Linked DNA regions of Mus musculus. The protein of the gene in region 1 interacts with the protein of each later gene in a pairwise test. Links are inferred from orthologs where the notes say so. Each region holds a gene or a part of one and is shown on either strand. Other genes may lie near its edges.

The links.
Region 2: the proteins of Txlna (region 1) and Krt20 interact in binary tests that used the Homo sapiens proteins (3 or more experiments, as listed by UniProt). The two-hybrid records come from large-scale screens. The link is inferred for Mus musculus from reciprocal best matches to the Homo sapiens genes TXLNA and KRT20.

Annotation. Positions count from the first base shown.
Region 1 is NC_000070.6:129,631,042-129,634,692, forward strand, and holds part of Txlna (alpha-taxilin), read right to left. Parts: intron 3,505-3,651; coding exon 3,334-3,504; intron 1,782-3,333; exon of another isoform or gene 1,244-1,781; coding exon 1,049-1,243; exon of another isoform or gene 928-1,048; intron 670-927; coding exon 550-669; intron 314-549; coding exon 239-313; intron 1-238. UniProt on the Homo sapiens protein: May be involved in intracellular vesicle traffic and potentially in calcium-dependent exocytosis in neuroendocrine cells.
Region 2 is NC_000077.6:99,435,936-99,439,686, forward strand, and holds the start of Krt20 (keratin, type I cytoskeletal 20), read right to left. Parts: upstream 2,219-3,751; 5' UTR 2,163-2,218; coding exon 1,752-2,162; intron 1-1,751. UniProt on the Homo sapiens protein: Plays a significant role in maintaining keratin filament organization in intestinal epithelia. When phosphorylated, plays a role in the secretion of mucin in the small intestine.

The sequences.
Region 1 (3,651 bases):
GACAGGCAAATCTCTGTGTTCCAGGCCAGCCTGGTGTACAAAGCAAGTTTCAGGACAGCCAGGGCTACACAGAGAAACTTTGTCTTTGGGGAAACAAAACACACATAAATAAAAGACTTGGCCGACACCAACAGGCCAGCTGGCACAAAGCCAGGCTATGACAGTCCTGTCTCCACTGCCCTGCAGATGGGCCCTTGTGAAAGCATCCTGGAAACTGCAGGTCAGGTTCCCGTCTCACCTGCTGCTTTAGGTGGGTCTCCTGCTGCTTCATCAGCTCGCACATCCTCTGGGACTCCACCGCTTCCTTCAGGAGCTATTTCCAAGACAGGACCCCAGAACCTGTCAGAAGCCCCTGAGGGTATGTCTGACCTTCTTTAGCCACAAGCACTGGACCCACTGAGGCTACCTGCTCTCAGACTGCTGTCTGGACAGGCAATTACTGGATTGGGCAGGCAAAATCTCTCCCATCCATAAGAAATAGATTGAACTAAGCCAGAACCCAGCCCACTTCCTTCCAGCCCCACCACAGCCCTGGGGCCTGAGCCTCACAAACTCCTTCTCTCGCTGGTGCCGCTCCTCTGCCTCCTTCAGCATCTCCTGGGCCTGCTGGAGCTTGGCGTCCACTAGCTGCTGCTGCAGGTCCTTATGTTTGAAGACTTTGTCGATATGCTGCAGAAAAGGTAATTTATGGAGTCAGGAGTTCCCTTTCAAGAAAGCCCCAACTCTAGGAAACAAGGCACTTCATCCGGTCTCCTGCCGACCCATGTCCTTGGGAATGGCATGGTCTGATGTACAGGTCTGATGCGGAGCTGGGACGAGGACACGCCTCCACTCTAGCACTGAATACTCTACAGATGTCCGGTTCAGACACCAGGGATAAGCACTGGTGTGTGTGTGTGTGTAATCTCTTCTTTCCATTTATTTCAGCTCCTTATCTACAGGATACATCTCTTGAAGGAAGAGCAAGCCCAGGCCTGCAGTTGCGGCCCCAGGCCCTGGCACTCACTACAGACTCCCAAGCTGCTGGCCTCAATCGCCTGCAGCTCACCTCCTCACGAAGCTCGTATTGCTCGATCAACTTCTTGAGCCTCTCGGCTAGCTCCATATTCTCCTGGCGCAGCTTGGAGTTTCGCTCGTTATGCTGTTCCATCTGCAGCTGAATGTCATTCAGTGTCACCTGGAAGTGTGAAGTCACTTCTTTGCGCTTCTCCTCCTCCTCACGGGCTCGCTGCACGCCTTCTTCCTGAAGAAAAGAATTGTCCATAGTTGCCAGCCTTGCACAAAGCTCCCCTAACTAGTTCCAAAGTCCAGTCTTTGCCAACAGCGATTTGGGCCCTGGGGAGCACCAAGGATGTAGGACGTCATACAATGGGGTTTCCTAACATGCCTCTCTGTAAATCAGGTGTTATCAAGCGACTCTCCCAAGAATACTCAGGGTCCATGCTAAGTGCCATTCTGCAACAGCTGGACAGCCTGAATTCTTGTTCCCAGACTCTAGATTAAGTATTTCTGCTTGTTTCAATTTGTGTCCATTTTAATGTCCTTTAGTCCCTCCTGTTCCCCACAGAGAACAATATAACAAAATGTAGTCATATTCAGGACTAGCAGAGTTGTAAGAAATGAGGCACCTAAACATTCCCACTTTTATGAAGACAGCCTAGACGATTCTATCAATTAGCCACTTAGTGCTGTGCCCACTGACCCAGCCATTTCACTTCTGAAATTTAGTCTGTAGATAAAATTCCTCAGCACACAATTGGTAAAGGACATGGACACACATACTCTTACCTAGTTTTGGTTTTTAAGTTTTTTTTGTTTTGTTTTTTTGTTTTTTAAAGATTATAGCTGGGCGTGGTGGCGCATGCCTTTAATCCCAGCACTCGGGAGGCAGAGGCAGGCGGATTTCTGAGTTCGAGGCCAGCCTGGTCTACAGAGTGAGTTCCAGGACAGCCAGGGCTACACAGAGAAACCCTGCCTCGAAAAACCAAAATAAATAAACAGATAAATAGATATAGATAAATAAATAAATAGTACTGCACATGTGTGCACCTAGAGGCCAGAGGTCAAGTGCCATCACCAAGCTTTCTTTACCTTAGTATGTATATATGTATGTATTTATTTTGGTTTTTCGAGGCAGGGTTTCTCTGTGTAGCCCTGGCTGTCCTGGAATTCACGAGAAGTTTGTACTTTTTAAAGAGAGTCATGGACCTCCTGCCACTGGAGTTAGACAGTTGTGAGCTGCCATGTGAGAGGTGGGCACTGAAGCGGCTTCTCTAGAAAAGCGGCCCATGCCCTAACCACTGGGTTATCTGTCTGCCTGTCACCCACTGGGTTATCTATCTGCCCACCCACTTCTTGTTGGTTTTGTTTTAAGCTTTTTTATTTATTTAGTTTTTATTTTTGTTTTTGTTTTTTTCGAGACAGGGTTTCTCTGTGTAGTCCTGGCTGTCCTGGAACTCACTCTGTAGACCAGGCTGGCCTCGAACTCAGAAATCTGCCTGCCTCTGCCTCCCAAGTGCTGGGACTAAAGGCGTGCGCCACCACGCCTGGCTTAAGCTTTTAAAAATTTCTGTATATTTATGTGTCTCTGTGAATGTATGTCACATGTATGCAGGTGTCCAGAAGTCAGATTAGAGTATCAGATCTCCTCAAATGGCTTGCGGACAGCCGAATGTGGGTGCAGGAACAGTAATCGGGTCCTCTGGAAGACTACTAGGTTACTACTCAGCCATCTCTTAGTCCTCCATACTTCACCGAGGTACACTACTTAGGCCAGCTCTGCCGCCGGGCTCCAGGCCTTATGCTGGCAGTGGGAAGCACGCTCTTGGTTGATCCATCTCCCCACCTTGCATCCTGAGGTCCCATAAAGGTTTACTTGGCAGGGGACTCTGGAGCCTACTGTGGTGCCCAAGGTCTGCTGAAACGGCTTAGGACTGGGAAGTGTGCTCTTGAGCAGCTCTGCTGTCCCACACCCTCCTGCCACACCCTGCTCCTGCCCCTCTCAGCGCAGATCTGAAAAGCCATCAGGTTCCCCTTATCATGGATGAGAGCTTTTACACTGGGTGTCAGGACAAACAATCTCTGTGGTTTTAGGAAGCTGAGTGTTTGCAGAGGGAGCTGACTCCGGCTGACGCATCTGGTGCTTCCTGCACGCCAGGCAAGGTAGGCACAGCTGTTCTTTGGTGGACCTGGGACTGAGCTAAGCCTAAGCTGCTGCTGCTGTTACTTCTTCTTCTATAGTAAATCTTCCTATGAAATCCAAGCTGGCCCAGAACTCACTGTATAGCATAGCCGCAGTTGCCCACAAGTCCCAATGGATACTGATGGGCCTACCTTCAGGGACCGGTTGTGCCGTTGCAGCTCCCGGCACAGACTCTCAAGCTTGCTTCGGGCCAGGACAGCCTTGCTGTGTTCCCCTCGCAGATGGTCCTTCTCCTGCACGAGCTGGCTCTGCTTCTTCTGCAGGAGCTTCATCTGCTTCTGCGAGTTCCGATGCTCTTCCAGCTGAGAACAGGAGGCATAAGTGTCTGCAGGGCACCGTTACACAGCTCTAGAGATTCCTAAGCTAACCACTATTCACCCCTTCCACTCCAGGCACAACAGCTCCAACAAGAGCCTGCTCACACACCAAAAGCACGGGAACTTCTCATG
Region 2 (3,751 bases), on another chromosome or scaffold:
GTGATGGTTTCTGTGGTCTGTGCCTGTTTCCACTTAAAGCACTTGCTATCTGTAGGAGTTAGGCGCAGGACAGAAGGATGGATACATCCTGGATCTGTGTGCATCTCTCTCTGTGTGTACATGTTTATATGCACAGGTGTATGTATGTGGAGGTCAGAGGACAATCTTACATGCCATTCCTTAAGTGCTACCTTTGTGTGTGTGTGTGTGTGTGTGTGTGTGTGTGTGTGTGTGTGTGTATGGCAGGGTCTCTCATTGTCTTGGAACTCACCAAGTTGGCCAGGCTGGCTGACCAGCAAGTCCCAGGAATCTGCTTGTTTTCCCAATGCTGGGAGTACAAGCACACACAGTCATTCTACAGCTTTGCTTTGTAACCTGGGGACTGAAGTCAGGTTCTCATGTTTCAAGGCAAACACCGTATTAAGAAGTAGATTAGAAGTCTACTTCTAGAAGATTTTAGACATATCCCTTTCAGCGGCTATTCCTGGAGAGAGGTCCCTAACCACTGGTCACTAATGGCTGTGCCTAAGTACTATGGGTAATCCCCAAGTCAATTCAAAAGCGTCAACCATGAGAGAAGTGCTTAATTTGAATTTTGTGTTGTATCGAGAAGCCTGAAGGACCGTCCTGTTGATGAGAAGGGCAATGTAAGCACCACACAGCTTCATGGGCTATGAAGTCTGAATTAAGCTGCATTGATGCCTGTAATTCAAACAGAACTCAAGACAAGAGGCCTGTGGTTAAGACAAAGGTCTTTGCTCTAAAGGCCTTTGCAATCATTTCGAGATTTAAACAAAACCCAAGGGGAGGCTTTTCCTGATGAGATAAGAACCCCGGGGCTGGGCAAATGGTGTGTGCCGATGCTTGAGGTCCTCAGTCAGGAGCGAAGTCTCCCACTTTTATTCCATTGGCTTTATAGAAAGGGGAACCCCACCTACCATGGATGACACAGGAACAGATTGTGATATGACTGTAATAAACTTAAATTGGGGGCAATAGAACATTTTATTATCACAGAGGTGCATTATAAAATGCTTGGTGATAGTGAGGAGATAATTAAATAAGACACTAAAAAATCCAGGTATCAGAACCGTGTATGGTGGCACAGTTCTTTAACCCCAGTGCTGAGGCAGTGGAGGCAGGAGGATGGTGAGGTCCAGACTAGCCTGGGATACACAGATCTTGTATCAAAGAGCAGTTCATCCATCCATCCATCCATCCATCCATCCATCCATCCATCCCCTATCACACAACTATTTATCAATCAGTATACATATCATTAATATCTGTAATCTGTATCCACCCTGAACCCTTTTGTTATTTATACCCATAGTAGGTTAATATATTTGTTATAACATTCATATAATGAAAGATGAAAAATCTCTTTAAATCAACTTGAGTCTTCAAAGTTAGTAAAGACTACTGGCAAACTCACATATAGAAACCATTGGAGGTCTTTGAAAAATAAGATTATCCACAATGAAGACCTTATATTGTAAGCCATAACAAAGATTTGAACTGCAATTTTGGATGATAAAATGATCATATTTTATATATAATTAGTTGAAGTTTTAGAAAAAATGTGAGTTAGACTCATCCTGTTTACAGATACCACATGATAAAATACATTTTTTTTTCAATTATACATTTCAACCTAATCTGCTTCATGTGTTCGAATTCACCTAGCATACATCTCTCAATCCATTAGGCAACTAAACAGTGAGGTAGAAATTACAGGCTTCATGGCTCACCTGATTTTGCAGCTCTTTAATCTGTGCGTAGTAGGAGCTATAGTCTCGGATGGTGCTCGGCGCGTTGGTTTCGTACCACTGCTTGATCTGGGCTTCAAGTCTGGAATTGGATTGCTCCAGGGAGCGCACTTTTTCTAGGTAGTTTGCCAATCTGTCGTTCAGGTTCTGCATTGCCAGTTTCCCATTGCCCCCAAACAGGTCCGATCCGTTGGAGAGATCACCCCCGTAGCTCATTACGGCTTTGGAGACAGAGATGCGAGTGCCATGGCCTCCAGCCCCACCATAGACGCTGGGTGCAGCCCCCAGACGCTGCACAGTCCCCTTCCTATACAGCGAGCCACTCATGCTGAGTGCTGGGCCTTGTGAGGAGGAACTCAGACTTCGGTGAAAACTTTGACGACTGAAATCCATCTGGGATGTAGGGAGGCAACGCCTGTAGCCTGGACTTGGAGCACAGCCTGTCTGTCTCGGGCTGCTGTGGAGATGACCTTTTATAGAGTTCAAGAGACTCCTCCTCTGCTGCCGTGTCACCTCAGGAATGACACAGTCCACCTTCCTGTCTCCCCTTCCCCCTCTTTTGTACGGCAATACGTTTCATTCCATTCCAGAAATTTCTACCAGAGGCACTTTTTAAAGGCTTTCCTGTGGGGGTGGTGGGAGTGGAGGTTTCTTTTTAATAAACAGAGATAACAAAAAGGACGAGGAAGGGGTGTCCTTTCAGGTCTTGCACCTGCCCTGGCAGGTTTTTTTTTTTTCATCCTGTATACAAATAAAGAATATTTACAATCTATATGAATAATTCAGGCATCGAACAAGACAGCTGTGGGAACATAATATAAGTCACACTGGTGAGAAAAGACAATGGCTTGTTCAAATGATTTTCTTTTAAAAAATGTTTTATGCTTCTTTAAATTTTTTTTTTACTTTTAAGTTTATCCTTGTTTAGAATTTATATTTACAGTCTATTGAAATGTCTTGAGTGAAGCTGGGTGTGTGGGTGTGCACCTGAGATTCTAGCACCCGGGAGTCAGAGGTGGGGGGGATCAGGACTAGTTTGAGGCCAGCCTGGTTGAAGTAAGGTGTTCCAGTCTAGCCCAGTGTTGTGTAACAAGACACTGTCTCAAAGTGCAGCTCCCCCCACCCCCGTTTAAGAATTGAATACGGTCAGTAGGTGAATATGTAAATGATTATCGGTGGGCGGTGGGTCAGTTGATTTTGGAGTTTTTTAAAAAAAGATATTTTAAATAGCATTTTTGGATAATTTCATCCATGCACATGTAGCGTATCTTGATAAACTCCTCTCCCACTCGCCTCTCCAGCTGCCTCCGAAGCGCCTAACACAACCCCACCCAAACTTCATACCTCTTTTTATCTTTTTCTTTTTAAAAATAACCAACTGGATCTAATTAGTGCTGCCTGTATGCTTGTGGGTGTGCGGCCTTGGACTGGGTGTGTGAGCAGCCTGTCAGAGGTCATAGATCCTCTGCCTGGCTCCCAGCAGCCTGCAACTGCCAGGAACATCTAGGTTAGCAAGGGGACCTTATTTAAAAAAAAAAACAAAAACAAAAACAAACTTGTTATAAGAATCTTGCAAATATTTTTAAATCTAGTGCTTCTTAAAAAAGAAACAGCAACATTAAATTACTGCGAAACTCCTGCTTTTAATAACTGGCATATTGCATATATTGCATACTGCTTCCTCTGTCTGAGGCCAGCTAGACACCACCAGGGGATTCTTTTTGCTTCTATCTTCCTAACGCTGGCTGTAGGAGCTGCCTCTTAGGACCCCTGATGGATCCCAGTTTCACTGTGTAGATTCCTACGCTCACAGCAAAGTGGCTCCCCGAGAGTGGAAAGAAGGTTGCAGGTGGCTACAGGACTCACATCTAACTTCCCAGAAGCTGCTGATATAAGAGGGCAATTACTCTGTGCCCCGGCCACTCGGTCTATTGATTTGTTTGAGTAGAAACATTCCTTCTAGAGGTGGAATCTGTTTCTAT